4 linked regions of the Arabidopsis thaliana genome follow. The protein of the gene in region 2 purifies or fractionates together with the protein of the main gene of each other region. This does not show direct contact. Each region holds a gene or a part of one and is shown on either strand. Other genes may lie near its edges.

The links.
Region 1: the proteins of AT5G20890 (region 2) and AtCDC48B fractionate together in Arabidopsis thaliana (co-fractionation; one large-scale study listed by BioGRID). This does not show direct contact.
Region 3: the proteins of AT5G20890 (region 2) and AT4G08640 fractionate together in Arabidopsis thaliana (co-fractionation; one large-scale study listed by BioGRID). This does not show direct contact.
Region 4: the proteins of AT5G20890 (region 2) and EMB2719 fractionate together in Arabidopsis thaliana (co-fractionation; one large-scale study listed by BioGRID). This does not show direct contact.

The regions. Positions count from the first base shown.
Region 1 is NC_003074.8:19,721,323-19,727,793, reverse strand, and holds AtCDC48B (ATPase, AAA-type, CDC48 protein), read right to left. Parts: upstream 4,445-6,471; 5' UTR 4,379-4,444; coding exon 4,350-4,378; intron 4,253-4,349; coding exon 4,087-4,252; intron 3,859-4,086; coding exon 3,630-3,858; intron 3,510-3,629; coding exon 2,743-3,509; intron 2,656-2,742; coding exon 2,080-2,655; intron 1,986-2,079; coding exon 1,305-1,985; 3' UTR 666-1,304; downstream 1-665. Other genes in the region: AT3G53220 (Thioredoxin superfamily protein), read right to left, coding at 5,179-5,398, 5,497-5,522, 5,628-5,762; UMAMIT6 (nodulin MtN21 /EamA-like transporter family protein), read right to left, coding at 6,030-6,219, 6,314-6,465.
Region 2 is NC_003076.8:7,085,969-7,091,957, forward strand, and holds AT5G20890 (TCP-1/cpn60 chaperonin family protein), read right to left. Parts: upstream 4,202-5,989; 5' UTR 3,939-4,201; coding exon 3,933-3,938; intron 3,849-3,932; coding exon 3,792-3,848; intron 3,696-3,791; coding exon 3,630-3,695; intron 3,541-3,629; coding exon 3,429-3,540; intron 3,328-3,428; coding exon 3,199-3,327; intron 3,101-3,198; coding exon 3,029-3,100; intron 2,858-3,028; coding exon 2,742-2,857; intron 2,517-2,741; coding exon 2,440-2,516; intron 2,187-2,439; coding exon 1,701-2,186; intron 1,602-1,700; coding exon 1,286-1,601; intron 1,199-1,285; coding exon 1,052-1,198; 3' UTR 685-1,051; downstream 1-684. Other genes in the region: JAZ12 (jasmonate-zim-domain protein 12), read left to right, coding at 4,915-5,039, 5,430-5,532, 5,607-5,787, 5,879-5,936. UniProt on the Arabidopsis thaliana protein: Molecular chaperone; assists the folding of proteins upon ATP hydrolysis. Known to play a role, in vitro, in the folding of actin and tubulin.
Region 3 is NC_003075.7:5,511,448-5,514,849, reverse strand, and holds AT4G08640 (ATP binding protein), read right to left. Parts: upstream 1,538-3,402; coding exon 1,403-1,537; intron 1,281-1,402; coding exon 1,147-1,280; intron 1,058-1,146; coding exon 924-1,057; intron 789-923; coding exon 676-788; downstream 1-675. Other genes in the region: AT4G08630 (fas-binding factor-like protein), read left to right, coding at 2,891-3,193, 3,283-3,402.
Region 4 is NC_003070.9:7,000,500-7,006,257, forward strand, and holds EMB2719 (PAM domain (PCI/PINT associated module) protein), read right to left. Parts: upstream 3,934-5,758; 5' UTR 3,812-3,933; intron 3,677-3,811; 5' UTR 3,656-3,676; coding exon 3,577-3,655; intron 3,484-3,576; coding exon 3,293-3,483; intron 3,102-3,292; coding exon 2,961-3,101; intron 2,872-2,960; coding exon 2,735-2,871; intron 2,634-2,734; coding exon 2,579-2,633; intron 2,491-2,578; coding exon 2,380-2,490; intron 2,013-2,379; coding exon 1,773-2,012; intron 1,423-1,772; coding exon 910-1,422; 3' UTR 588-909; downstream 1-587. Other genes in the region: AT1G20220 (Alba DNA/RNA-binding protein), read right to left, coding at 4,591-4,682, 4,763-4,996, 5,116-5,172, 5,280-5,336, 5,454-5,528, 5,616-5,680. UniProt on the Arabidopsis thaliana protein: Acts as a regulatory subunit of the 26 proteasome which is involved in the ATP-dependent degradation of ubiquitinated proteins.

The sequences.
Region 1 (6,471 bases), on a different chromosome or scaffold from region 2:
TGCATTTTTTTACTTTAAAAGGTAATTTATTGCGTCGATTTTAGGCCTAGTTGTAGTTCCGTACTGTATATGATGACAATATTAGACGCTAGCTATGATGGTCCTTCTGACAAGGATCGTGATTGTGCGATCGTCTCACTCATCATAAGTTTGTTTCTTGTGTAGTAGTGGTGCATAACTGTATATACTGATATACATACTTTACTGTGAGGATGACTTATCTTGCGGAAAAGAATCTAGATGCACGAGATCACGCATGGTTAATTAAAAAAGTCCAAAACATCAATCTTTTATTAACAAACAAATAAAGTATTTATGTGTGTATGTTTGTATATAATCTTACAATTACAAAACTGTTATATGTGATACAATCACGAAGAATGAGAAAAGAAGTGTATATTCTCAACCTTCTCTCAGGTTACACAAATGATTCTATCTGTATAACAAAATTCATAAGATTTATCATGAAGACTTTATAATTAATATTTGCAATAATCAAAAGAGTCCAAATGAGATATGTTTGAGAGATGAGCACAACAAACTCGAAAAGTAAATTACCCACAATGTCACCCAAAAGAAAGAAAAAAAACACAAAGTTTTTAACTTTTTTTTTTGTAAAAGGACTTCTACTAAGTGCAAAAAGGTTTTATAGAGCGATTTTCATAACTTGCAAAAGTAAACAATGTAAATGAGTGAAAAATTTGAGGAATTTTTAGTTGGACTCTTTTTGAACAAAATTTGACATCGTCTTTATTTTTGTTATAATCTTGATACATAACAGATACAGGCCTTATGCTGCAATAAAGTTGCAGGAGAGGATTATGCTTGAACCAGCTTGTACCAAATTGGTGGTCTGGATGAGATCAGAAAACAAGTTGAGACAGGACAACCCTTTAGCGGTGAAGATGAACTTAACTATTGTGTTAACTTTGTTTACGTTCCAAGTCTGGTTCCGCTTCCAGAATAAATAAAGAGAGAGAGACTCGTGAGATCTCAACTGTGCACTTCTATTTTATATAAAGAAGATATTTCAACAATTACATCAGTTTGATGATTCTTTCTAGTTAGGGTGTAGAATCTGTGTACTCGCAAAATCTGTGTATGTATATCCGGTTTCCTTTGGGATGAATGCAGTGTTCTCATTTCTCTAGATTTATTTCATCATGACACCATCATTGTTCTAGAGTCTCAACGATTATATACAAAAGACTTATAAATAAAACACAACAAAGACCATCGAAAGTTTTTCAAGCAGAACAAAGTTAAAGACTAAAGAGAGTAGTCACAGGGTCTGATCAGACCTTTCAACTGTAGAGATCATCATCATCCGCTGCTCCTCCGGATGTGGCAAACGGGTCGACTCCCCCAACTGTGGCAGCAGCTCCAGGGAAAGCTCCAGTAGTCCCTGTCGGCGCATCTGGAAACCTGAACTCGCTTCCAAACCCACGTGATTGCTGGAGAGTCTGAGCAAAAGCCTGATACTTGCGAATGTCTGCATCACTCACTGATCTCCTAGCGTATTTCATGGATTCCTCAAAGTGACCAGCTTTAATCTCTGCAATCTCCTCCTCATCCTCTTCCATTGCTTCTGGCGACTCTGCTCTCTTCCTCTCCTTCTCAATATCCTTCTCGATGTTTTCTCTGATCGCATACTTGCAAGAACGCTGGCAAATCTCTGTGATGTCCGCACCACTGAAGCCTTGGGTGTACTTAGCAAGAGCCCTCAGGTCAACATCTTTCGCCACAGGTGATTTCCTCAAGCAAGACTTAAAGATCTGGTAACGAGACTCCTCATCAGGAAGAGGAATGTAGATGAGCTGATCGAGACGACCAGGACGCAGAAGTGCAGGATCAATAATGTCTGGTCTGTTTGTAGCTCCGATGATGAAGACCGTCTTCTTAGCATTCATTCCATCCATCTCCGTAAGAAGCTGGTTCAATACTCTATCTGCTGCACCACCAGCATCTCCAACACTGTTCCCTCTCTGTTATTATAAGAGATGTTCATTAATTTTTCTGAGATAAAGGTAAAGGGCATAAGTTGCCTAAGTAGAGAGATTAAGAAACCAAGTACAATACCTGAGTGGCGATGGAGTCCAGCTCATCAAAGAAAAGAACACAAGGGGCAGACTGTCGTGCCTTGTCGAATATCTCTCTCACATTGGCTTCACTCTCTCCAAACCACATTGTGAGGAGCTCAGGACCCTTGATACTAATGAAGTTGGCTTGACACTCGTTCGCAATAGCCTTAGCCAAGAGGGTCTTTCCACAACCAGGGGGGCCATAGAATAGGACTCCTTTAGACGGTGACATCCCAAACTTCTCGAATTTCTCAGGATGCTCCACTGGATATTGAACAGTCTCTTGGAGCTCCCTCTTGACATTCTCAAGACCACCAATGTCCTCCCAAGACACATTAGGCACCTCAACGACAGTCTCACGTAGAGCTGAAGGATTGCTGTTACCAAGGGCAGTCTGGAAATGATCATTACTGACAGCCATAGAATTGAGAATTTCAGCATCTATCTCCTCGTCATCTAGGTCAATTACATCCATCTTCTCCCTAATGCATTGGAGAGCAGCTTCAGTGCATAATGCTGCAAGATCAGCACCAACATACCCATGGGTGTCTTTAGATACTCTTTCCAAATCAACCTGAATAAGAGAAAATAATGTCAGATCTAAACAAATAGAAAAAGGTAAAAGAAAAGAAGAAAATAATTATATGTAACAGAACATTACATCTTCCGCAAGCTTCATGTTCTTGGTGTGAATCCTGAGAACTTCAAGACGACCAATCTCATCAGGAACACCAATATCAATTTCTCTATCAAAACGTCCAAATCTTCTCAAAGCAGGGTCAATGCTGTTGGGACGGTTGGTAGCTCCCATAACAATCACATGGGCTCTGGATTTAAGACCATCCATAAGTGTCAAGAGCTGGGATACAATCCGTCTTTCAACTTCTCCGTGAGTCTTCTCTCTTTTTGGAGCAATCGAATCGATCTCATCAATGAATATGATCGAAGGGGCATTCTTCTCAGCTTCCTCAAACGCTTTCCTGAGGTTACTTTCACTCTCACCAGCTAGCTTCGACATGATCTCGGGACCATTGATACAGAAGAAAAATGCACCAGTCTCATTAGCAACAGCACGGGCAATAAGTGTCTTCCCAGAACCAGGAGGGCCATAGAGCAAGATTCCTTTGGGAGGTTTCACACCAATAGACTTGAAGAGCTGTGGATGCCTCAATGGGAGCTCAACAAGTTCACGAATCTGAGCCATTTGTTTCCTGACACCACCAACATCATCATACCCAACTTCATCCAACCTCTCCTCATCCTCTCTCTTTATCGGTTCACCTTCACAGAAAATTTCTGTATCTGGAGCAACCACACAGTACTCAGCAGGATCAGTTTCAATAACCTTAAACTCAATACTTCTCATCCCTCCTCTAACTAGGAAAAGATCGCCCTTCCTCACCGGACGATATGCCTCTAAGAAATAAGCTGGCAATAAAAAATAAAAAAAACAGACATTAAACTACTGTGATAAAAACAGAACACATCAAGAAGCATATAAGCAGAGCACAACTTAAATGACAAAAACAGGGAAGAGAAAACGCTTACGTTTAAGGTATGCATCAAATATATTGCCACTTACTCCTTCAATGGTATCATCTAAAGGTAAGATGTGAACACGGTTCCCATACTTGACATCAGGACATTGATGAACAGAAATAACATCCCCAAGCCTAACTCTGAGATTAGACCTAACAACCTTGTTCATTCTAATTTTTGGTTCATCACATGTCTCATCAGCTAAAGCAATACACACAGTATCCTTCCTCTTCTTTCCCTGCAACCACAGATTCCCAAAACAAAAAGAGAGAAAACAAAGATGTAAATACACACAACTCAAAGAAACTATCCCAAAACAAAAGCATGAAAATTGAAAGACCTAATTCAAAAAACAACCCTTCTGATAAACCCTAGCAGCAAACCAATGAACAATCACAAAACCTTATAAACCCTAATTCAGTAAAGGAAACAAGAGAAGAAGAGCCTTAAAATTCAAAAATCAAACCTTGATTAAGATAGTATCACCACGAAAAAGCTGTAGCTTCTCCATGGTATCAGGGTGAAGAGAAACGACGGAGTTATCATCGTTAATGGCTTCATCCACAACCAAACGATTCGCTGCCTTCTTTTTCTCCAGAATCGCGGTGCTAAAATCCTTCTTCGTCCCCTTCCTGAGATATTCAGAGAAAAAAAAATAGAATTAGAAAAACCCCAACACGAAGACTAACAAAACCTTAAAGAGTTACTCAGTAATTAACAAGTACTTACGAATCAGATGATTCAGCTTGATTCGCCATGTTTGATAATCGAGTAGAGAGAGAGAGAGAGCTTCGCAGAGAAGAAAAAGAAGATTCGAGAAGTGTAAATAAATAGACAGGTGTGTGTTTTATTTATATAGAAGACAAATCCGTTTCTTGTTATCAAAGAAACGTTTATTTTATAGTATTTGTTTTCCATTATTATTATTCTTTTCTTCTATTTTTTTTTTATACATCTTCCAATTTAGAAAAGCTTCTAGTATGTTCTTATTTAGTTTTGAATAAACATTGTGATAATTTCACAAGAGATTTTTTTTACAAATTCAACAAAGTTACGTTTTAAAAAAAAAATTACGAAAAGAAGGTCGGTCTTAATGGGCAACAATAAAAGTTTTAATGGTTGATATTTTTTGTGGTGGAAGACCGTCCAATCTCAAACCTGACCCAAATTAGAAAGTTACATTAACCCAATTCATTCCTGGAAAACAAAACCGTTTAGAGGTGAAGCTTGGTGCTTTTGAGATTGGCAAGAGTGTGATTTAGAGACTTCAATGTTTCTCAAGGTCATTATACCCGGTTAAACCAAATTATTTGAGAGGGAAAGAGCCGCCGTGAGGAGCTCGGTGTTCATATTTATTTGTCAAGAGTTGTATCATGAATGTTAGCTCCATCCTCTGTTTAACCTTTGATGTTTCTGTAAGTTTATCCCTAACATTAATCTACCAAAGTCCAAACTTATTCAGGGGATTATTGTCGAAGAGCCAAGTATTTTTTGTGTTGGCATTTAAAGTATCACAAAAGGAATGCAGATTTTCATAGTTAATATTTGATGAACATATTCAAGAGTGAAGCCAAAGACGATCATGGAGCCTCTGTTCACCAGCTCCAAACATCTCATCGACTTTCTCGCCGTCTCTGTAAAACTGAAACGTGGGTGTGTAACGGATGTGACGAGTGGTTTCAGGGCACTCGTCGATATCTGCATAAACAAACTTGAGCTTCGAGAAACTGTTGCTGAGCTTTCGGAATGCAGGAAGAATCTGGCTACAAACTCCACACCTGAAAGTTTCAAAACAAAACCGTTCTCATTGAGGCATTTCATCGAACACTTTATAAGCATGAAAAGCGTAATCGTAAAAACAGAGAATAAGGTGTACCAAGAAGCTCCATAGTTAATAACAGCCTGAATATAACAAAGCAAAAACAAGAAGAACAGTCAGATTACGAAAAAAAACCAGCTTCGGTCTTAAAAACGTGTACAAATGTATAAGTTGTCGTGTGTAAGAACCGGAGATTTGGAAGACTTTATGTCGTCAAGAATTGTGAGGAAACTTTGGTCGTTTGGTGCGATTTTCACATTTCCATTGTCATTTGATTTGGATTCGAATTCAAGATTCGCTCCCTCTGATTCTTGCTTTCTCATTTTTTTGTTTCCTCTCTGTTTTTGTTTGTTTGGTTTTTAAAAGCGCCAATTTTGATCCCTCCAGGTTATAATATCATAACCTGAACCGAACCACAACTCTACTCACCTAACCACTGTGGCACTAAACCCAAACCAATCGATTTAATTCTAAACCGATTTTAACCAAATTTATTTTTATCTCTATTTCGTCAACCGGGTCCATTTCGATTTTAATGAGGAAGAGAGTAGGAACTAGGAATTTAAGACATAAATAGGATCTAACAAAATTTAGGAAGAAATTAATGGTTGACTAATAGGAGATCTTGGTTTATTATTATGGTAGTCTTCTTCATCACCAAAATCTGATGCTGCTGAAGAAATCATGTGTTGTTGTTGTTGGCAAAGAGCTTGATTCTCCCAACTCTTTCCCATCACAACTAAGTATAGTCCACTCATGATTAGTATTGCACCTATCAATCTGACCAAAACAAACATTAAAAAATGTGTAAGAAACTTAACTATAAGATATGAAAATAAAACGCATAATGAGTCAAAACATATAGATAACATACCCTCCAAGGTAAAAGTGTTCACCAAGAGCTAAAGTAGCTAAAACAGCAGCAATCAAAGTTTGAAGAGGCAAATACGCTGATACAAACAGAGGTCCTCCTCTTTCCACTACATATATTTGTATTGCAAACACCATTGCTGAACCAACTAAACCCTGAAA
Region 2 (5,989 bases):
AATCAAATAAAAATGGTGGCCTTGACAAAAAATTGTAGTAATCAGGAGATTATCAAAACAAGACAAGGTATCAACAACAAACGTTTAAGAGATTTCTTCACAAAGGAATATGCATTGCTCTGTCTTGATCTCCCAGGAACTATAATAAAGATAAAGAGTCTTGAATAACAGAATCGTGATAAATTCTTGAAAATCGAACACCTTTGGAAGCCCAAATTTAAACCTAGGATGACATGTCAACCAATCTATCGAACCTTGTCCCTAGAGTCTAGACTATGAATTCATGTCGGCTCAATATTATTTGTTTTATTATAATTTTCTGAAAATGTATAGTTTATGCATTTCCATTAAAATTTCTTGATAAACTGGTGCACTTTTTTTGTGGGACTTTTAACTGTTTGGTAAAAGAAGTTGAAATATATGAAACCATGAATTCAAATCAAATCATATATAAAACAACAAAATCGAAAAACAAACATATTTTTTCTGGTAAGACGATTGATAAAGGGTCGCTATAATTAAAGTTTGCGATTGCAAGGACCCATGTTTTGATCTGCTCTGCTTTATAATGTGGTTTGGTCGGTTGACCAAACCTTTACAACGCAAAACTACCTCATCGTTGTAGGTGATGAATGATATACCTTATAGATATTTATTTATATATAAGATGGCCTACGATTTTTTCAGAAATGGGATCCTTCAAGTTTTCCTTTGGTATCCAAATAACTTACGTTTTGGTACTTCGTTTTTCTTTTCCACACATCCCTATTATATCAGAACCATCTCAGTGAAAATGCCAAAATGGGATGCAGGTAGAAACAGAAGACACAACGTCACAACCAAACAAATTAAAAACTTTGGAGCTAACACTTTTTTCAAACGTCTAAATTCAAACTCAAAACAAGATTAAAAGGAAACAAAACAAAAAGATGAGTTCTAAGGAGGAGCAAAACATTAAACATATTAGAAAAGTTGTATTCTGATCCAAATCGAAAACACAATCATGGAATCTCTAGGCTCCCACCACGTTCATGTGTTTGTGTTGAGTTTTTCACATCCTGTCTTCTCTCCTCCTAGGAGCACATGTAATGATTTCATCCACTCGCAATATCATCTCAGATGCTTCTGTGGCTGAAAGCAGAACCGCTTGCTTCACTTTGAATGCTTCATAGATTCCTCTCTCTTCCATATCTCCTACCTGTAAACAATCAATCATCATCATCACAATTCAAGTCTAGCCTTGCACATTCAATGGCGAATCCTAATGTTTATAAAGTTTACTTACAGCTCCAGTGATGACGTCGATCCCAGCGTTACACCCTTCAGTGTGGTGCTCTGCACGAAGCTGAGCAACCAATTCGGCACTGTCTAAACCAGCGTTGTCAGCGATTGTTGTCGGTATAGCAACTAGAGCACGTGAGAAAGCTTCAATGGCATGAGATTTTTTGCCAGCAGTTTTCCTTGCAAGCTCATCTACTTCCTTTGCCATCACCATCTCTGGCCATCCACCTCCAAGCAAAACTCTAGTATCATTCACTGTTTGAGAGAGTACACATAAGGCATCATGGAGTGATCTTTCAGCCTCATCTAGGACATGGTGACTGCAAGAAAAAAGAACCCATACAAAAATTGATTAGTGAATTAGAAACAGAATAAAGTTTAGACGAAGTCTTTCAAGTAATGGGAGTGAAAATGGATACCTGGCCCCTCTTAGGACAATTGAACAAGCCTGGCCCATTTCACAACCAGAGAAATGAATCAACTTGTCTTCACCAATCATGATTTCTTCTATAAGCTTGCAATGCCCAAGCTTAACAGACTCTGGGTTGTCAAAGGTCGAAGCAATTTCACCACCAGTAACCAAACCAAGACGCTCTATTCCCTCAAAGTCAGCATGCTCAATAGCAAGTATACCAGCATCAGCAAAGAGTTCCTCAGGGAAATTGTAGATCAACTGCCTGTTAACAAAGCAGTTGATTCCGTGGCCTATGATCTTCTTCACCTTGTCTTTCATTTTTTCCTTCTCAGCCCCTTCAATCTCAGCAACCTTGGTCATGGAATCCACACGGACACGTGCACCGTAAATCTTCACTTTATCGGTATCCATAGCAGTATTAGCTACTAAGATATTTGCATTCTCTATGCGCTTAGGCTGCCCAATTCCTATTTTCTTGTCAAGAATAAACCTACAGGCATAGATTTTAAGTTGAGGTGACATGAGACCATATTACTCGATAGAAGAAGAAACACAACACAACAAGATGACATGATGACTATCAACATTCCAAAATAACACTATAAATGAAATTAAGGTGCGTAAGCTATGAAGAAGAAAAGAAACACGACAGAGTTACCATGAACAGATGAATACTAAAGAAAGATCAATAGCTCAGAAAACTGAATTTGAACTGACGCCAAAGGCACAAAGTGTTGTCTTACCCTTCATCCAAAAACGAATCCTTCAGAGACCCTCCAGGTTTTTTGATGATCTGAATAGCTTCCAAGTTTGTGCTTCCCTGTTGAACGATAAAAGCAGAATGTCAGAAAAAAATCATATAACAATCCAAAACGAAACGATGCAACTATGGGAAAGACTAATGGTGAAATGATAATAGCCTAATTTCATGACATTTCGTCAAAGGAAGATCTTCTTTCATGAGATAACACATAAATCAAGAGAAAAAGAAGGAAGGAACACATGACATTGCTGAATCAGTTTCAAAAGGAGGAAGAAATGGAACCTTTAGCCTGAAAACAGCATCCACGGCCATTTCTGCAAAATGTTCCTTGTCCTGTGAGAGAATTTTGGAACATAAAGTAGTCATCGCAATCTTCAACAAGTCTGACCTAAACTTCTCTGCATTGACAAAAATACAATGCTGTAAAATAACAGTGTGATTTCCGTTCTGTATTCAACTGAAAGGAAATCACCGCTTGAACCCAACAGTCGAAGTAATCACACAAACAAGAAAATGCTATACTTAAATATGTCAGCATAACAAGGTTTAACCATCTCTATAATGATTACCTGCATTGTCCTTGTTATCAATGACTCTTTTCAGTAAAGCATTACGAGCACATTCCGAAGCCATTCTGTAACCTAAGAAACCAGAAAACGAAAAAATTAGAAATCATTGCCATAGTGAGAGAAGCTGATACAAAGTTGACATCTTAACACTTAAAGCTCCAAAAGTGTACCTGCTATGATGGTCATAGGGTGAATCTTAGAAGCCACAAGCTTTTCTGCTTCCCTCAGAAGCTCGCCGGCCAAGACAACAACAGAGGTAGTTCCATCACCAACCTCATCATCTTGAACTTTCGAGATGTCTGAAGAACAAACCAGATACAACGAACTGTGAGAGAAAACCCAACTAAGAAAAAACGAATGTGAAAACTTCATGCCAGAATGTCGCAGGGAAATTACATACCAACAAGAACTTTAGCTGCAGGGTTGTCTATGTGAAGTGACTTGAGAATAGTAGCACCATCGTTAGTAACAGTGACCGCATGACCTCTACCAGTAGATTGCAAGATTTTATCCTAAACAATAATAAAAAGGATTCAACAATAATCAATAGAACCAAATTGAAAGTTTGTAGCTTTCTAAATATTCAGAGATCGGAAATTACCATGCCCTTTGGCCCTAAAGTAGACTTAACCAGATCACTGATAGCCATTGCACCAACAAATGATGCCTAAAAGAGCAACAACAAAAGAAAAGAAAATCAGATTTAAACAGTAGAAGAGTGAATCTGAAAAACCCTAAATCCTAATCGATTCAAAAGACTCACCATCCTCGCACGTTCTCCCTTCTCTTCACTAGCATCATCTTTGAAGATCTTATCGATCTAAATACGAAATAGCTAAGTTCAGTTAACGGAGAGCACTGGGGAAAAGCAAAAGGATTGAAAGAGACGACGGAGGAACATTACCGGCATCGGGAAGAGCGGAAAAAGAAGAAGGAGGCTTCTTCAGTATCGGAGATATCCAAGTTAGTCGAATCTGAGACTAGCGAGAAACAATAGATGGGATCGTTCACGAAGAACGAACAAGCCGAGAGGATCTCGAAATATTGAGTGTGCTTTTGAAGAAGAGTAGAAAATGAGAGGAGAGAGCCAAAACCCAGATCTTTCGGAACCCTAAATGAAACTCGTAAAGACCAAACTACCCTCGTATTTCCCAGATTTCTTATGCGCCCTTCAGTAAAAACTAAAAAGTTTAGATTAACCCTTAACCAAAAAGTTATAAGTTACATTAAGAAGTAAATTTTATAGTTTCGACAATTTTGCATTTTGTTTGATTATATAGAGGAAAAAAAAAAATGTTCCATATACAAATTTGAATTTGGTGATGATTTAGCGGTCGAATACAAAAACAGAAATAAATTAATTCGTGATTTGTATGCGAATATTGTTACTAAAAAAAACTATAAATGTAAAGAGGCTTATAAAATAGAAAGAGAAACATTATAAATGTAAGCAGTCAAGGTCCATTTTAGAAGTCATTTTAAGACGACTAAGCCCAACAGTACTTTAAGAGCCCAATGAATCAAGGTCCAGCAAACTCAATTAGTTTAACGTCTCAGCCACTTATAAATTATACACGTTTGGAGTTCCGGATAACCGAAATGAGAAAGCATGTCCCACATAGAAGGCCAACGACACCGTATCATATTCGAGCACGTTTCTAATTACCCTCTTGTTGTCTTTTACTGTCGTAGCACCAAAAGTCAAACAATAAAAATCAATATCTATCGCCAGGTGTCAAATTACAGGAGCTTCTGAGAAGGATAAATCTCGGAGGTTCCCGGTCTGAACGACGTAGAGACGAAGCGAAACAAAAGTACTCTAAGGGAGAGAAGTATCAAAATTCTCATCGGAAAAAGACAGATCTACAAATTTTGAGAGACAAGCCATGACTAAGGTGAAAGATGAGCCACGCGCTTCCGTTGAAGGTGGATGTGGTGTTGCCGACGGTGACGGCGGCGCGGCTGAGATCGGCGGTACCGGATCTGTTGAGAAATCGATTAACGAAGTTAGGTATGAGCTGTGTTTACTGTTGATTTCACATGTTTTTATCTGTTTCTCTCTTTGCTTTGAGTTTAGTACTTAAAATTGTATCTTGTTTCTGATAAGGAAGATCAGCATTTCGATCTGGTTACTTTAGTTTCTATTTAGGGAAAGTCATATTTCTCAATGGAACCAATTTGTTTTTTGGCTGGAACAATTGGATTCTTAACAAACTTGTGTTTTTCAAAGTCCTTTAATGCATACATAAGTTTTCATGTGAATTTGATTAATAGAACTTCACCGTTAACATGTGAAATTGGAGAGACTGGATTCATATGTGGAGAGTTTTCTTAATGTTGCATCAATAAGTCCATCTTTATAGTGTCGGTCACAAGTTTAATAGATCTTCTGCTATTGAAGGTCCACGGAGATTCAAACCGCTGAGCCAACGGTTCCTCCAAATCAACTTACTATTTTCTTTGGTGGAAGTGTTACTGTGTTTGATGGACTTCCATCAGAAAAGGTTGGTCCATTAGAGCTTTGTTGTTGTCAGAAAAACTTCAGAATTTCTGTTCTCACTGTGATCTATGCCTATAGGTTCAAGAAATCCTTCGTATTGCTGCTAAAGCAATGGAGACAAAGAATTCTACAAGCATCAGTCCTGTCTCATCGCCAGCACTGAACAGAGCTCCTTCTTTCTCAAGCACATCTAATGTGGCATCACCAGCTGCACAGCCATTTCCTATTCAGCCAATCTCGTTTTGCAGATCCACGGCTGGTAAGTATTCGATTCAACTGGTTATAGTAATCTTCAAACCTTGAAAATGGATACTCTCATTAGTTTCTTACAATTATGTTTGCCGTAACAGATCTACCTATTGCAAGGAGGCATTCGCTTCAACGATTCCTCGAGAAAAGACGGGACAGGTATGCAGCCTTTAAAATTACACTTCATCCTTCTCCATTTCAATGGAAATTCA
Region 3 (3,402 bases), on a different chromosome or scaffold from region 2:
TTTTGGCTCTTCACACAGAAGCTGAGGTACTTCAAGTTTTGATATGTTGTTGTTCTTACGGGTATTTGTACTAACACCTTAGATCTTGGAATCGTTTTAGATTGCTAGGGAGGAGGCAACATCTTCGTTAGAGCACCTTTATAAAGTTGAATTCGAGCTTAACTCTCTTAAGACCGTGACTAATAGATTGATATTGACTCGAGAGGAGTATTTTTAAAGGTTCATACTTTTTGTTTCCATCTAGTGTATTTTTTAAATCGATAGTTTCTCATCTGGAGCTCTCTTTAGGAAGAGATTGTTCTGAAGAGGTGCTGGCTTTTACGTTATTGGGGCTTATGCGTTAGACATGGTTGTACATTGCTTTCTTACACATTATAATCTATAAATATATAAACTTTGATAATGTATTCCGTCTATTTTTGAGACATGACAAAAAAATGCCTCATGATCCTTTATACAGAGCAAATACTTCAAAAATGTCTCTTAAATAATCATCTAATAACAGACCTCTGCTTCTAAAAAAGGATAGAGTCGACAAAAAGAGTTCACATGTTAAGATTTTTTTACCTTTAGTGAAGACAGCTCCCGCAAACCTTTTAAGAACAATAATCTCTACATTACTCTAAGTCATTCATTACATGATAAAAAGAAACACATCAATTATCTGATCTAGTTTCAATCCTTCTTTTTCTCAGCCTGGAGCTTACTCTTAAACTTCTCTGCTTTCTTCTGAGAGGCTCTCTCAGCCCTCTCTGCATCTCTCTCTGCCTTCTTTACAGCTCTCTTGGCTACAGACAAGAATAACTAATTCAGTAAATATACAAGTATTAAATTGTATGTATTGATTCCATGAGTAATGTAGCTTTGTTGTTTGGTTAAGACTTTCCATTTCGTTCCACACAAAGTGATTGTTGAGGAATTACCAATCTCTGATAATGATGTAGAATCCATGTATCCAAGATGATGAGGTTGGAAATGCTGAGATGAATCAATTGCACCAACTATTGAACATAAACTGTTAATATCAATGTCAGAAGAAATCTGTAGAACCATTATCCTAAAAAAAATGGTATTGCCAACACTGTATTTATCAAAAGGTTCAGAAAAAATGATTCAAAGTAGGTTCAAATGTTAGAGATTACTTACTTGTAAATTTTGCAGAAACGTAGTGTCATTTCACAAATTGATGACCGACTAACAATAACTTTTACATTGGAAAAAGCAATATCTTTAACCAAAGTCTCAAGCATGGCTTCCTTTGACTTTCCAAAGTTATGTACCTAGAAGACTAGAACCCAAAATAAAGGAGAAAAATAGTCAACAATTAAAAACACAACCATCCTTGAGAAAGACAGTTACAAAGGATGCCATGTTATGCAAGATTTGTTCAACCTGGTCTCACCTTTGCATTTTTCAAAGGATGCCTAATGTTACCTACATCGTCACTTTTAAAGACGATACCACAGACAACGCAAGATTTGCGAGAGTCTACTCCCAATATCTTGGCAACATGGACATCATCAATGTTCATGGTCATTGCATTCGTTAGGACTTAAGAGCATACCTGTAAACAGATGAACCATTCTATTGCAATAACACTGAAGAAATGAGAAATAATAAAAAAAATCTTACATGAATAAAATACCTCAAGTACTAAAGAATTTAAACTTTTTTGGTTAAACTGCTTGCTAGTTATCATCCTCATTCGGGAAAGAAAAGTCTCTTGCACAACCATAGTCTCTCAGATATCTTAACTTGTTCTTGAAGTATCTCAAGAGCCTACCGAACAAAAAAACAAATATGATATTTATGTTTTAACTCTAGAAATAATAAATAGTAATAAGGACGCATCATTCACCTTTTCCAAGGATTTTGTATATCCCGAAATGTTATCAGTCTCATCTCTTTCAAAGAATCTTTATGGTTGAGAATTGATCTAGCAAAAGGAATGGCTAAATCATCTCTTTCATCTTTCTGCTGCTTAGAGGCTATTTCGGATATGATAAAAAGCTCATCTATCTTATTAAGGATTGATGTTGCCAAGCATAAAAACAACACAGAGATAAGTTACACTTACGTATTACAAAGAGAGCAAAAGTTAGAGATATCAAGTAATAAATGAAAAAATATGTATTGCCTAATAAGTAATTAATAATTTAATAAGAAATAAAAACTATATGAAAAATATTTTTTATCATACAACATATGCTATAATCACTGATCATAAGTCATAACTAGAAATATAAATTTCTATATGCCGTTGTGGTAGACGAAACAATTACGAGCTAACTATCAAATCAAATAATATATCTCTTAGTTACTTGATTTTCCTTTTTCTATTTTACAAACCGTGAGAAAACTTTAAAAACTGTACCTAAACCATAAACAAAAAGATGATAATGCTATTATAATTGGAAAAGGGTACTTTGGATAATTATTACACAATCGTGGGATGAAAACTATAAAATAAATAAATTTAGGTACTATCGATAACAATAATAAATTATTGGGGATGAAAGTATAAATAATTAAAGAAGAAACTGTTCTCAATCCGACCGTTGAAAGCCACTCGCAATTTCTGGCTAAATGACCGAAGATCAGTCAGAGAGAGAAATATGTGCTGCCATAAATGGCAAATTTATTCATTGCTTTTTCTTTTGAAACATTCTTTGAGATTTCTGTTGAATCTAATTTTGTAAGGTTCTGTTTAATTCACGCATTTAATTCTTTTTCCATTTTTCTGGATTTCACTTTTCTGTGATTTCCAAAATTTTGACAAATTTGGTAACTATTTTTTTAATTCAATGTGTGGAATTTTTAGTTCCAATCAAACTGCCATTGATGTGAATGTGATGATGAAAATCAATGTGCTTAATTTTTGTAGTTGACGATGAGAAACACGAGACCTATTCATGTTAGGAATAAGAGTACGGAACCAGGAACACCATCTTCGCCTATGATGACGTCTCCTCTAATGCATCGTCATACACGTTCAGGATCAAATGCTGGGCCAGCTTCGAATGCTAAGAAAGCTCAGACAAAAGCAGCTGCTCAGAGACTTGCGGCTGTGATGTCAAATCAAACAGGGGACGAGGAAGATAGTGATGAAGACCTTTCCTTTGACTATAATGCTATCGGAACAGGGAGCATTGGACTCGCAGCTGGAAGATCTCATCCTTCTCGCTCTCCTGTGGTAATTAAAATTAACAGACTCACTTTTTCACTGTAATGAGGGTTTTGCAATGTAGGGATTTTATGTGATAGTGTTTTCTGGACTGACAGATTAGGAATCCTATGGCAAGGCGTCAACAGATGGCAACTCCACAGTTAGTTGATGAGGACAATGAGGATGATGATTTTTCAGTGGATGTAACGAGCAGTAGACCAAGTATTGGACTTCCT
Region 4 (5,758 bases), on a different chromosome or scaffold from region 2:
AAACTTGATTTCCAATCAAAGTTGATGAAGATCACCGTCACGACGTCGTTTGTTACGAACACTTCCGTCAACTTAACACTTGTTCGTTGTCACCAACATATGAAAAATCGTGGACTGCAAAGTCTGCAATCCGAAATCCAGACTACACTACCAAGTAACTTCCGCAGTAAGAAAACAAAATATGGATACTGGATACAACAAGATTAAGGAATTGAGGAGCTTGTTTGGATATGATTAGAGTGTAAGAATATATTGACCCATTACAAATCTACAATTATGAAAATTACATTTTGATTGTATGGATTAAATAGTTGGCAGTTGTAGCTATCAAAGAGCCCGGGTATTATTCTACAGATTTTTGTCATTATTAAGAAGTTAATGAATCGAACCAGAAACACCTATAATTAAAAGCATAACATGAGATTGTTTTATTCAAGAAAATGAGACCTAGTTTGGCAGAGATAGACTAATGTATCAATACACATAATGGTCAATACACATGTCCTGTTTTCATTCTTTAGATATTTATGACTGCTTATCTATCATTTAATGTAAATTATGAATGTGGATTTTAATGGTATGCATCGCCTGGAGATGATAGCATTTCACATGGTCAATTTCTAATAATGACCCACCTAATACAGCTAGCTATAACTACAAGTGTTCAATTCTTAAAATGCGAAAATCTCCCAAACACAATTAAACGAAGTTGAATTTGATCTTCTGAAACCAACAAGATAAATATCTTTTCCTAAAGTGAAACCAGAGTAATAAAAAGGTTCCTGAGGATAAAAATCCTCAATAAAGAAACACTTAGAGACGATGAGAAGAGTACCAAGTAAACTTGTGAACATAAAAAAAGTGAGACAGATGGAGAGTCAACTCTTATAAGAAATAGATGACCTTTGTCTAAAAATCATCATCGTCTTCCTCAGCCATATGCTTAGCAAGCTCTTCTTCCTGTTGCTTCCTCTCTCTCCTCTTCTCATCGCTTTCTTTCTCCTTGTGAGTGTTAGGAGGAAACCTCAATGCTCTGACAGCTTCGTTATGCATGTTGAGGCAGAAAGCAATTCTTGAGTTGAACGCAGTTTGTGGCTCATTCGTCGAGTAGATGTCCCCAGTTTCTTTGGAGACCATGCATCCGTTTTTGTGATCGATTGTAGCATCAATAGCTCCGTCGCGTATGGCCTTTGCCACGATGCTTTCCGCATCAGCCACAGGGTTTTCAGAGTTGAGCCTCAGCTTTTTGGCAACATCGGGTAAAGAGATTCTTGAGTAGGAGATACTTATGTTCCGCAGTCCAGTCCTGATGACATTGTGGCGGAGTCGCACGATGAGATTGTGCGTTCTGTCTTGAGCAAATGTGTCCAAGAACTTCTCCTGGACTGTCCTAAACAACTCCAAGTCCCCAATCCTAACCGCCTGTAAAATCAAAACAGAGCTTTAATAGTAAGCCTCAGATCAAAATCAGTATCAACTATCCAGTTGCATCATATATCTCTAAAAAGCAACAGTAAACAGCCAGAAATTCATGTTCAATATAATTCGAAGGAGCAGAAAACAACAGCAGCAACAAAATTGTGTTTCAAGTGACCACAGAGAGATTTTAACAGAAGAGGTGTATAGGCCAGTAAGTGAAAAGTAGGAACCGGTTTAAAATCAGAAGTGAAGTAGCAAGATCACAAGTGACCACATACTAATACCAGTTTAGTTATCCGCTCATAAATTAATGAATACATGTCACAGCAGCAAGATTATGAAAGTGGACTCACATTTGTTAGCTCGAAGTAGGGTCTGAGGGCCTTCTCCATACCCTTTTGAGTGAAGATAGAACGCTCTGGTATCTCACCCAGCAGTAGACGAACCAGAATTGCCCATTTATTGCATTGGATCCTGAAGCCCAAAGCTGCTATAGGGGCTTTCCTGGCCGCCTGAAGAAGGCTCTCTTTTGCGTCCGTATATTCGAGCTGAATAGTACGAATCTTCCCGAGATAGAAAAGGTACCTACAAAACTGCAAAGTATAATGTTTTAGACAAGTCATCTTGCTGTTTATTCTTTTGAAACAGTAACAATTGAAGGGTTAAAAAAAGAACAAAATTCATATGTAGCAAAGAAAAACACAAGGTAGATCGATGGTAATGGTAAGAGGTGGTGTCAGAAGTATGAAAAGGACAGGCAAAATGGACACTTCAAGTAAGTTCGGCAAATAATTAGTGATTGAAAAGAAAACACAAGAGCCTCCTAGATGGAAAATGCTATAGCGAATAGAAAAAATAATTCTCTGGAAAGATTGCAGAAGTGGCATTGGAGTTTTCATGCAAATATAGAATCTAGAGAACCGAGAAAACTTAGAGTATGAAGGAATAGCCAAGAGCTACCTGTTGGTTTGAATGAGCCTCAAAGCGAGGTGCCTTTGATCTTAGCTTCTCTGCCTGATCATAGAGGTTGTAATGCAAATAGTTACGTAGCAACAGGTTCAGAAGGGTTTCCTGCATTCAACATGATAAATTTGAATAAGAAGCAAGTAACAGTTTCAAAATAATGAATGCCGACTGAATGAGCTAAACAAAGACATACCTGACCCAGCTCATCGTGTCTTAGCGTTGCAGAATGATGCAACGCAAGAAGAGTACTGCAGGTAGAAAAAATGACCAGATTATTAACTATTGAGCTACTGATTAATATGAGGTGTAAGACAAAGTACAAAACTAAAACAGTCTTTGAGCTACTAACCCGCGAATTTCAGCAAGATCACCGGTTTGCTCATAACTCAAAGAATAGTAAAAGTAGAGTCTTGATGCTATCACATCAATGGTCCTTCGGTTGACGTTCTTGAGACGAGCAATGCTTGCTGAAGAACAAGCTTTAGCCTAAGAGATGATTAAAAGCAACTCATTAAAATTAAAATCACAACAGAAAAGTAACTTATGACAAAACACAAAGATACAGCAGTAGTTACCTCGTTGTACTTCTTCTGATCAATCAGAAAAAGAAGAACAATGAAGTAGCAGTAGATCTCGAGCTCTGCAGGTAGATGCTTAGAAGGAGCAGCTTGTGTGGCCGATGAGGCAGTATCAACTTCCATGTCATGTTCATCACCCTAAACCATTAAAAGTTCCAATATTTCAGTCTCTAAGCCAGTTGTATGTTAGATAACTTGCCATTCACAACATCAAAAGAAAGTATAACAACCATAACACGAATCTAAACAACCTAAAGCCAGATGCTAAAAGGAACAACCAAGTTGAGAATTCTGAAACATCAAAGTGAAGAAGTAAAACCCACAAATACCTTAGGAACAAAGGAAGAGAGGCGAGAGTGAGCTTCGGATCCTGGAACCAAAGCAAAATCCAGGAAGGAAGAGAGCACAGAGCCGGTGAGTTTCTGCCTAAGCCCTATAGTGAGACGCACAGCACGAGCAATACGACGAACCTCCTTCGTGTAAGACCCAGTATCGATGAGTGCTGCAATCTCCTTCAAATCTGGGAAACAAAGAAACAAAGCGTCAAAACCCAGAAGAAACTTAGCAATTATGAAAACAGTTCGAGAATTAAAGCATTCAGATCGAGATTTACTCTGCATAGTAGAGGTAGAAGAAGAGATAATCGATTGAGAAGGGGTGTTGTTATCTTTCATCTCCACGTCCTGAGTCATCTTTGCACAAATCTCGTTACTCTTCACAAAGACAAAAACAAGGTTAGGGTTTTTGCAGAAGTATGCAACTAAGCCGGTGAGATTTCAAGGAACCGATTGAAGTTTCAACCAATTTGTTGACTGAGAAAGACGGAGAGATAAAGACAGAGAGCTTACTAAATCGATAAAACGGAATTCGCCGGGAGAAAGTGACGATGATGGATCAGATTTAAGGACGAGCTGATGCTGCTGAGACTCTTTTCTTTCCTAAGTATTTTCCTTTTTTTGGACACAACAAAAAAAGTATATTTCTTTTTGTTCAAGACAGCTTTTTTCCATATTAGTATTTATATCTTCTACATTACGATTGAGCAACAAATGTCGTTGTAGTATAGTGGTAAGTATTCCCGCCTGTCACGCGGGTGGCCCGGGTTCGATCCCCGGCAACGGCGATTAACTTTTTGGTTACTAGTTTTGTTTGGACCTCTCTCACTTATTTTCGTACGCTTTCTTCGAATAGCCCAAAACACAACCAGCGCAAGTTGGGTTAATTTCTTTTTGTCTCAAAACACGTTGGAACTTGGAATTACAATTTTATTATTCATTATTTTTTCTTGTTATCTTTTTATGTTGTTAGAATATATAATCAACTGATATACGAACCAATGGAAAAAGGCAATGCCAAAGGGGGTTGTTTACTTGTTAGTGTCAATACGCCGACGAATGTAATTGGAGTCAAACAAATATCCAAAACTCAAAAAAGAGACAAAACTAGAAAACTCTTGAAGGAATAAAAACTTGAAAATCCAAGATCCATGATAAAATAAATGAGGATATATATAACCTAAAGCGACATGAACGAAAGATTATTCTACGGCAACAAGTTGCTTTGAAGAACAGAGACAAAAACATGAGAATGTAAGAAAGATCCAACTTCATTCAATGACCCTGGTCGCTCATGCAGCAGCCTGGATAGGTGCTCCATTTGATCTGTTGAATCCACCACGGCCTCCTCCTCTTCCACGACCTCCCCTTCCACGGCCACGTCCTGTTCCAACAATTTTTAAACATTTACAACTCATCATTATTTAATGAGAAAACATTAGTGTAACAAAATCATCAACGTACCACGTCCCTGAGGCGGAGGACCATCATATCCATGGTCTGCTGGAGGAGCAACATTGTTGTATCCATAGTCTCCTCCATCTTGTTGAGCTTCATAGTAAGGTGGTGGGGGGCCATTGTAACCTCCTCTTCCTCGACCACCACGTCCACCTCCTCTCCCACGCCCGCGTCCTCTGCCATATGACCGGTCCTGCTCCATACCTCCATCATTATACTCATTGTTCACATATCCACTTCCTGGCAAATCCGAAAGAAGAAATAGCACAAGCCAATCAAACACTTGTCCGCCGATCACATGCAAATATGTTAAAAGGTAAAACTAAGATTTGGAAAGAAATATTCTAAAGCAATTCTACCTCTGCCGCCTCTTCCCCTTCCTCCATCATCATACTCATTGTTCACATATCCGTTTCCTGGTAAATCAAACAAAAAAAGAAATAGCACAACACATTCAAACCCTTATCCACAAATCATATGCAAAAATCTATACTCAAATACGATTTGGCTAAAGATATCCTACCTCTGCCACCTCTTCCCCTTCCTCCATCATCATACTCAACATTCGCAGGTCCATTTCCTGATAAGTCGAAAAAAGGAATTAGCACAGTCCACTCAAACGCTTATCCACAAATCACATGCAAAAGCTTACAACGAAACTACGACACTGTATAAACAATTTCTAAAGTAATCCTACCTCTACCACCTCTTCCCCTTCCCCTTCCTCTTCCTCCTCTACCTCTTCTTCCTCCTCTGCCTCTAGGAGATCCGTCTACAAGAAAGAGATAATTTAAAAACTTAAAAAAGACAGCAGGGCAGGGAGCTTAAAAACGTCATTAAGAGTGAGACTCTAAAATACCTTGCCCTTCGTAGTCAATCTCAGCCAATGGCTTCACCATCTCAATAGGAATCGGACACTGGTACCTATAGCATTATTTAATAAGATATATTAGCATTGGAGACAATGTACCTCTCTAGACACAAAACAACAAAATCCCCAAT